2 linked regions of the Macaca mulatta genome follow. The protein of the gene in region 1 interacts with the protein of each later gene in a biochemical or structural test. Links are inferred from orthologs where the notes say so. Each region holds a gene or a part of one and is shown on either strand. Other genes may lie near its edges. The genes, in order: TRDN and CASQ2.

Region 1 (4,462 bases):
CAAGAGAATCTTGGCTTGAGGCCAGTAGTTCAAGTACAGCCTGGTCAACATAACAAGATCCTGTCTTTACAAAATTAAAGCAAAAAAAAAGTTAGCCAGGCATGGTGGTGCACACCTGTATTCCTAACTACTTCTGATGCTGAGGTAGAAAGATTGCTGGAGCCCAGGAGTTTGAGACTGCAGTGAGCTATGATCATGCCACTGCATTCTAATATGGGTGACAGAGAAACTCTGCTCTAAAATAAATATATAAATAAATAAATAAATAAATAAATAAGTGGTTGAGAAAGAAATATAGCAGATGAGACAAAATAAGACTATTCCAGGCTCAGAAAATAGCCTGTACCAAGGCATTGTACAAAGGTATACCTTTTATAAAGGACTGGAGGAAGGCAATTGTAGCTAGGGCACAGAAAGTGAGAATTGCCAAGGTAACATGAAACTGTGTAGTAAAACAGTGTGCAAAAAACTTTGGATATCCTCAAAGAATGACTGTGCTACCTTAAAAGATAACTTCATTTGAGTTGACAGTCTAATTTTCATTTGAGAAATATTATTAATAAATCACTCCAGAAAATGAAAAAAAGTACATAATTGATGTTTAGATAATATAGATCCTATGAACTGTTAAGACCCGGAAGTGGAAAATGACCATCACCCAGGAATTAGATGGTATTTCTACTTTTTAATTTTATTACTAATTCAATTACTTTTATGGGTGATTCCAGAAGGTCTTCTAAGGCCCTTTTAAACCCCTGCAGAGTGGAGGCAGAAACAAAAGTTCTATTTCATAATCACGAATTTTCCTGTAAAAAGTCTTTTGAATCAACTGCAAGTTCTACAGAACATAAGCCACAAACAAGCCCAAGATGGTTTAGTCAACCGACCTCCTGAATCACCTGGGAGCCCAAACACTGAGCAGAGGTAGAGAAACAGAAGATTAAGACACTCATAGCTATCTTAATAACTTGTGCAGAGCTAAGCAATAAGTTTTTATAGATAGCTTTCTTTAAGGCAAACTAAAAGCAACATGACACAGAATATTTAAGGAATAGGAAAAATGCTATTTATATTTAGTTAGCAAATTCTGAACTAAAATTGGTAAAGAGTAAACCTGATATCCTCTCACAGAAAAGAAAACACACACACACACACAAATGAGATTTAAAGGGGCTGGCTTTAAATGTTAGTAATGCTATAGTCTTGAGCGAGTCACAGAACATGTTAGCTACAGTTCCTTTTTCTGCCAAACTGAGATAATAATGCCTCCTTAATTGAATTGTGTCAGTTTTAAATAAGTAAACACCCATAACATTCTGAGCAAAATACCTAACACGCAGAATTCTCTCAGTAATTGTTATTAATTTGGGGTGTCAGACTGAATTTCTCAATGTAAGGTACAAATAAGGCAATTCTTACAAATATTGACTGAAAATCTCCAACAGAAATTACTGTGTGTCGATACTGATTTCTACCCTCAAAATAAAAACACATATTCTATAGTTCAGTTGTATTATTCAAAGCAAACCAGCACAGCATTTAACTTGGAAGTTGTTAAGAGCACCACCTGTCTGAGTTTCTTACAGCTGTCAGAAGCAAATTTTAGATCCACCTCCAAAATTTTACCTCAACTAGAACCAGACTGTGACTGTATTCAGAGTAATTTAGTTTTGAAGGGCTTCTTCATTCTAAGAAATATGTACATATATATATATATATGAAGCATATATGGAATATAAATATATATAACTAGCAACCATCAAATAGAAGATATGTATTATAATTATAGTATGTAGCTTTCAGTAAAGCATTGAAGCAGAAAATATTTATTGTAACATAAAGATAGAATTTACCATTTAGAGGAAAATGAAGAATGAATTTATGAAAAGAACCAGAATTCTAAACTTAATTACTTTATTTTAAAAATCATATTGATGCACAGTAAGTTTGTGGAATTCCAATCTTTATCTCTGAATTTCCATTAACGGTCAAATAAACACAAATTTTGTGAGACCACTTATGTCTTAAATTGTATATAAATCATATATATGTGTGTGTGTTTTACATACCCTAGTAGGAAAGGAAAAACAAACTTAAGGTCTCCATTTAAAAATATCATAAAGTAAAAATGCTTCAAATTACTTTTTAAGTTTAAGTAAGCATTACTGTAATATTTCAAGTTCATCATGGTCTCCATCCTTGAAAACTTTGTAATTTTTGCTGGATAAGATATCATCCATCATGTTACATGACCATAGCTATTTATAGAGGTGTGAGTAACAACTGTTATCTAGTGGGGCCTTTGGTATAGCAGAGAATAGTTTCCACATGCAAAATTTAAGAGAAATCTCTTTTTGCTCCCCCAATATACAGATCTGGCAGCCTCTCAGCTCCTAAATCCACTTCTCAGATCCTGTATAGAATCATTGACCACGACAATTACCTTAAAGCAACGTTTTAAATGGACACATCAACAGTCCATGTGGCTGTCAATTTGCATATTTTTTTTCCTTACTTGATACTATTGGAAAATGGTAGCAATACCTTCAGCAGTGATCTCAGTCATGGTGGTCGTCAAAAGTAAATGTCAGTTGAAAAGTTCCCGTCAAGTAGCACTTTGCAGACTATTTGGGGATTTGAGAACTCTGGTAGAGGGTTCTGTGTCAAAACCTGGGGGCTCTTCTTTTTCCTGGCTGTTTCTGCTGCTTCTTTGTTGTCCTGTTGAACTTTGCCTCTCCTCTGCAGAGTTCTCCCCCTGGAATCAACCTAAGCCCTTTCCAAGCAGCACTTGTGGCTCAGCTAGAAGTATCAGCTTCAAACAAAAATAGCCTCATCTCCCTAGGACTCTTCAGCATGTTTTTTTTTTTTTTTTTTTTTTTTTGGCACTCTAGAGGAACACACACAGAGACACACCAGCTCTCCAGCCCCAAAGAGAGACAGGCAAAAAAAAAAAAAAAAAAAAAAAGAAGAAGAAGAAGCCAAATGAACTACAAAGTACCATCTAAGCCCACACAGTTTCTCTAAGACAATTACAGATCTTGGGGTCTATGTCAGAAAACATGAAGTAAAGAGTTGAAAGTAATCTTATCCATGAGAGCTCAGATTTATTCTTAGTGCTTTTAATGGTCAGAACATTCTTCTTTCCCTTATTTGGCTTGGGGAGGGTCCCAAATGTCTACCACAGGCAAACGGGAGGGCAGTCTTAAGTAATTTTCTAAAAGTTGTGTTCCTGTTGATACAAATCCACTTAGCAAGTGCAGTTATTTTTATAGGGCTACACTTAAAATTGCAACTATTAAATCCTAAAGATTTATTTTAAAGTAGTCATACTGTAGAAGAGTAATATTTTCTGAACACTGACCAATAAGAATTACGTAATGTGAATTTATAGTGTGATACTTGAAAACCAATGGATTCATGAATTACTATGTTTTTAATTCTCTTTAATACCTAACTAAAAACTAAATATCTGCATTTATCCTTGCAATAAAAGGAAGCGAAGGTGACATAAAGTTTAGTGGTCCACAGCCAATATTTTAGTAAAATATTTCCTTATCTCAACTTAAAAAAAAAAAAGGATTATAGCAGCCACTAACAATTAACCAAATTGTCTGATTAGCATTTCACCTTCCCACTCCTAGACAGGTGTTAATGAGCAAAAAAATATTCAATAGTTGGTAGCTGGAAGGAAAAGGATAATCGAAGGGCACTGATAATCATAAACTCTAGCCAATCCGTAAATAATCAAGGGTGGGCTACACTTTTATTTTATTCTCATATTCAACCTACTACATGTTTGTAGTTTAATCTTTTAGCTTGAACTTGCTACCTTTTGTTTTCAGACCTCCTGAATTCATATGGTACTTCATAGATCATGAAGCAAAGCCATGTTTGTTATTTTTAAAATTCAGGCTCAGAAGAGTACTGCAACAGCTATTTCTGTAGGCAATTACCTCCTCCCTGTTAGTGGTTCTGTCTTTATCTGCTGCCCCCATTCCTGGCACAATAGAAAGTTGCTCATATATCAGCTGAATACATAAATTAGTAACAAATCTTAATTTACAAGGAGGAAATGATTACGTGATTGCATTCATGATTTTATTCAAATTCCTACATCTAGGACTGGGCCTAGAGCCTTTTAACTACAAGTTTGCTATCTTTCCCAAGAAGTGAGGCCTTGTTGCAGATACTATGACTTACAGGTAAAGGGGGTCACTGCAAATTAGGCCCACTAGTGGGATGAAAAGATACAAAATCCTCAAGAGCAGCTTCCCAGAGTTCTGGGTTGGTCTAAGGAGGTATCCTAGGAGAAAAGCCCTCCTCACACTGCCCCCCAAGGAATCTCCAGTAAATACTGCTGCAGTACTTCCAAGTGTTTAAAAAAACATAGCACTTCATGTCTCCATTCATCAGTTACTTTCATAATCTTTCATTGTAGTTCACTGAAGGAATGACATCTTAT
Region 2 (4,572 bases), on another chromosome or scaffold:
GAAAAGTGGAGCAAATTCTAAATAAAGGTAACCCAGTGAGATCAAGACAACTGGGAACAGTTTGGGGAGGCTGACCTCAAAAAGACAAGACACACATTGTTTCACTCAGAAATCTTTTCCCCCTTAAATTTCCTAAAGAAAGCAGAGATCTTGCATGCTTGCCACTGACTTGGAAAGCTAAGTGCACCTTAGCATGGATATTCTTGGCTCCATCTTTTGAAAACTTAGAGACTACACCATTAGAAAGAATGGAAGGCTGTCAAGGGTTTTAGTGATGGGTTCTTCAAGGCCCCAACTTCCTGCACATGAAAGTGTAGCATCAAGACAACCCCTCATCAGCCTGACTCTCAATGTAAGGCCCTCTGACTGCAGGGGAGCCTTGCCTTACTCATAGAGGCCACAGATCTTCTCTTTGCCCTCTAACGCCTGCAAAAGCTGTGTGTGACAGAGTACTCTGTCTTTTCAAAGCTGATTTATAACTGAAGGAGAACAGAAACTTGGTCAGAATCATGAGTGCCCTAGATGCCTTTGAAGAATGGAGAGACATGACTGGACTAGGGTTGGACTGGAAGAGATGCTCAAGAAGGTACTTAAGAAAAGGGGTGTTTGCAAGGGAATCACCCAGAGTCAGAGGCAAGACAACCAGGAGCAGCAGCTTTGAGGCAGGGTGGAATTCTTGCTCTGGCAGTTAGAAACGCTGCAAACTCAGACAAGTTGCTGTTAGCTCAGTGGTGGGATGAGCCCTGATCACTTCTGCCCCAGTTGCCTACTGGATTCAAGGAGAAAATGGACAAGAAAGGGTTCACAAACCATTCATATTAGAAACAGACAAATATCCATTATATAACCAATGTTCCACCAGCTCCAGTGAGAAGGAAGTACAATAGCTACCATTTTTGAGCACCTATTTTGTGCCATGCTTGTTCATCTATGTGTTTTAAACTTTATGGTTATTATCATCCCCACTTTACATAGAGGGGAACTGATCATCAGAGGGGGCAAGTGACCCTCCAAAGTTCATTAGCTGTTAAAAGGCTGAGTAGGGATTTGAGCTGTGAACCTTGTTTCATTTTATTCTAATGAGGACAGATTCTTCTGGTGTCAGCTGGGTTCAGCAGGGTGTCCCTGCACCCCTCGCCAGTGGCTGGCAGAGGATTTTTAAGAAGAGAGGATGGAAGGCAGAAAAAAACAGGAGTAGAACATGAGGAAGTCTACCTTGGGGCTCCGTTTTGTTTCATGTTGCAGTGAGGAACAGAGGGTGAGCAACCACAGGCTGAGTTACCTCCCTGGAGTGATTGAACAATTCAGTAATGCATGAGTGTCATTCTGTATGTTTGAACTCCTCATTTGCTTATTGGCATCATAGTCCCTTATCTCTCTCCCTCTCGAGTTTCTTTCTCTTCTTTGACCTTTCTAGCCTCCTTATTTCATGCGTGCACATTCTTGTCTTTTTCCTCCTGCCTCTTCCCTCTTCGCCATTCGGACAGACTGTATCAGCGAATCCCTCTACAGTGTCGTATCTAACTTTTTTATTCATTGCATGATTTATTTTTAGCCTGAAACAACTGCATCCTAAAAATGGAGTTCCTAATGAGACAGAGGCTGAGCAGAGCTATGTAAGGTATCTGGGGCTTGGCCTCCCAGCCTCCCTAGCTTGGCTGTTTTTCTACTCTCGCGCGTGCGTGTGTGTGTGTGTGTGTGAGTGAGTGTGTGCGCCTCTGCTCTTTGTCCTGAGCCCACGATTCCAGAGCTGGCTGGACCCAAGGAGGTGAAGAGTCACTTCTCCGCCCCAGGAAGGGCAAAGAAGAGAGACAAAATCAGCCTGTCTGCTCCCTGCTTGGCTCAACAAGGCCTCTAATAGTCTTCTGTCCTTTCTTCTGCACACGGCTTATTTGGGAACAAGAAACAAAAATTTTTCCAAATGAAGAGAACTCACTTGTTTATTGTGGGGGTTTATTTTCTGTCCTCTTGCAGGGCAGAAGAGGGGCTTAATTTCCCCACATATGATGGGAAGGACCGAGTGGTAAGTCTTTCCGAGAAGAACTTCAAGCAGGTTTTAAAGAAATATGACTTGCTCTGCCTCTACTACCACGAGCCGGTGTCTTCAGATAAGGTCGCGCAAAAACAGTTCCAACTGAAAGAAATCGTGCTTGAGGTAAGTAATCAAAGGGCGTGCTGTCCGCGCTGCCTCAGTGAGGTGCTGAGGGAATGCCTTTGGCCAGGGGTTGGGATATGGGAACGAGGATGCAGAGAATATATACTGAGGTCTGCTTTATTTTGGCCTCATGTGAATCAGATGCCCTTGTTGCACAGCTGGGGTGTGTGAACAATGAGGGGTGGGTCCTAACTCTTCAAATGAAGAGGACCAAACGTGCTACACTATGATGGGTCTGATGTAAAGTCTCTATGGCCCCCTTGACTTTTCAAGGGCCCTTGTCCCAGTCACTGTTTCCCAGATAGAATGCAGAAACTGTTGTTAAAACGGTTGGCTGAAATGAAATCCAGGGACTACTTGTGGATGTCACTCAGTGTGCCCACTCTGCTCCCTCAAATCTCCCTGTGATCCTGGAGAGACCAGAGTTACTTGACCTTGCCTCTCTCTGGGGGTCAGATGGAAAATATCACTAAATGACTCTCCTCTCTTGTGATTTGCTGTCAGTCAGCATTACAGAATGTAGTTGTGTGCAGATTTTCTGAGCGGCATATTCATTTATGTGATTTTTTTTTTTTTCCTCAGAAAGTTGTTGGTGTGACTTTAGGGCAGAGCTGAAGTCAGTTCTTATTTTATCCGCATTACATGGCCTGCCTGTTTGTAACCTGGCACTGGGGCCCATTTTCTAATCCTTTGCGAGTGCCCCAGAAACTATTCCTGCAGCTCCTCCTGGACAGCTTAAGATGGCTTATACTTTAAGAGTGCCTGAGGGTGCCAAGAATGCTAGTGGGCACCAAGATGCCTCATCAGTCCCCATGCCTAGCCCAGGCGCAAACCTGTGAAAAGGATATTTGAGAATTACAGTTTATTAACCAGTGCAATCAGAGAACTCAGGTTGATGAAACAGTTTGATTAACAGAATTATCGTATAAAACCCATGTGGATTTGAATTTTTTCCAATTGAAACATTGACTGTCATAAAATCCAGCAAAACTATCCCAAATACATCAAAAATATATTTCCAACCTTGAGTGCTGAATGTGGAAGTTCAGTTCTCTCTGTGGGTTGCAAGAAAAGAGAAAGCAGGGATAGTTATTAAGACTTTATTCTATAGAAATGAGCAAATCAAAGGCTGGAAAAGAACAGGACATAGAACTTAGCTGCTGCTTAGCCCATGAAACCAACACTTACATTGTATCTCCATTTCAAACTGCCATACTCAGTTATCAAGAGACATTGTTATGAAAACTTAATAGAAGGCATAAGGATTCTCCCCTATATGCTCATTGCTGTCCAGTTAGCCTAGAACTCCAAAAGATTGCCTTTGGTTGGCCAGTACAGTCAAGGACATTCATTTCTGATTCTAATTTTTTAAAAAGAAATCTCTTTCTATCATCTATCTGTCTATCTATCTATCTATCTATCTATCTATCTATCTATCTATCTATCTATCTATCTCTAGCTCCCCCAAGTATATATGTCCCCAAAGACTATGCAAAATCATGAACAGGAACTTCCCCTGGGCTTACCATCCCTCCAGACACCTTTGATCCAAGAGTGCCCTTTCCACAGTTGGGTGCCAGCCCAGCAGAGACCGATAAGGAAAAGTTCACGACAGGAGTTAATTTGATGCCCCTAGGCTGCTAAAGCTGGAGTGAGGCATCATTAGGAGAAAAAGAACACAGAACTTGAAATCAGGATATCCGGATTTAAGTTCTGGCTTTGTCTCTACTAGGCATAGGACGCAGGGCAAATTACGTAATTTCTCAGAGCCTCATTTTCTTATCTATAAATATAGAAAAATAATAACTATCATGCAGGCTTAAGAAATGATTAAATAATAATAATGTTAATTAAATGCTTACTAAGTACAGGGACTGTCCTAAGCACTTGGTATGTGTTAGCTTGCTTAATCCTTATTCTATTAAGTAGGTACAGTTACCAATTCCATTTGATAGATGGGGAAACTGAAGCAGAGAGGCTAAGTTGTCCAAGGTTACACAGCTACTGCAGATGAAGGCAGTACGTGATACCTATACTGCGCCTCTCCTGAAATCAGTGCGAAAATGCCCAAAGGGCTTCTGGGTAGACTGTTTAAGACGGTTTCAAGAGTCTTCCTTAAACAGAGTTGCTCAGCCTCTGGGCCCGGGTCTGATGATGCCAGCTGTACCACCAGCATGGCCGAGAAGTACATGGCCTGGAGGCACTGCTTATGCAAAAGTCCAAACCGAGGCGGAGGCCTGGGCTCCATTAGTGAAGGTGAGGAAGGGGCAGGCCTTTGTTGAGATACTTGTCAGGTGCAGCATCAAGGGAAAAAATGGCTCCAAGAAGTCCATGAGTGGAAAGAGTGAACACGTCTTTAAACTTTTGTCATCGTCAAAATAACTATTTTGTCCTCTTAATCCTCTAGACCCCACACT

Evidence for each region.
Region 2: the proteins of TRDN (region 1) and CASQ2 form a complex in vitro, tested with the Homo sapiens proteins (3 studies listed by BioGRID). The link is inferred for Macaca mulatta from reciprocal best matches to the Homo sapiens genes TRDN and CASQ2.

The regions. Positions count from the first base shown.
Region 1 is NC_133409.1:28,630,385-28,634,846, forward strand, and holds the start of TRDN (triadin), read right to left. Parts: upstream 3,093-4,462; 5' UTR 2,567-3,092; coding exon 2,545-2,566; intron 1-2,544. UniProt on the Homo sapiens protein: Contributes to the regulation of lumenal Ca2+ release via the sarcoplasmic reticulum calcium release channels RYR1 and RYR2, a key step in triggering skeletal and heart muscle contraction.
Region 2 is NC_133406.1:124,503,364-124,507,935, forward strand, and holds the start of CASQ2 (calsequestrin-2), read left to right. Parts: upstream 1-1,598; 5' UTR 1,599-1,921; coding exon 1,922-2,155; intron 2,156-4,572. UniProt on the Homo sapiens protein: Calsequestrin is a high-capacity, moderate affinity, calcium-binding protein and thus acts as an internal calcium store in muscle. Calcium ions are bound by clusters of acidic residues at the protein surface, especially at the interface between subunits.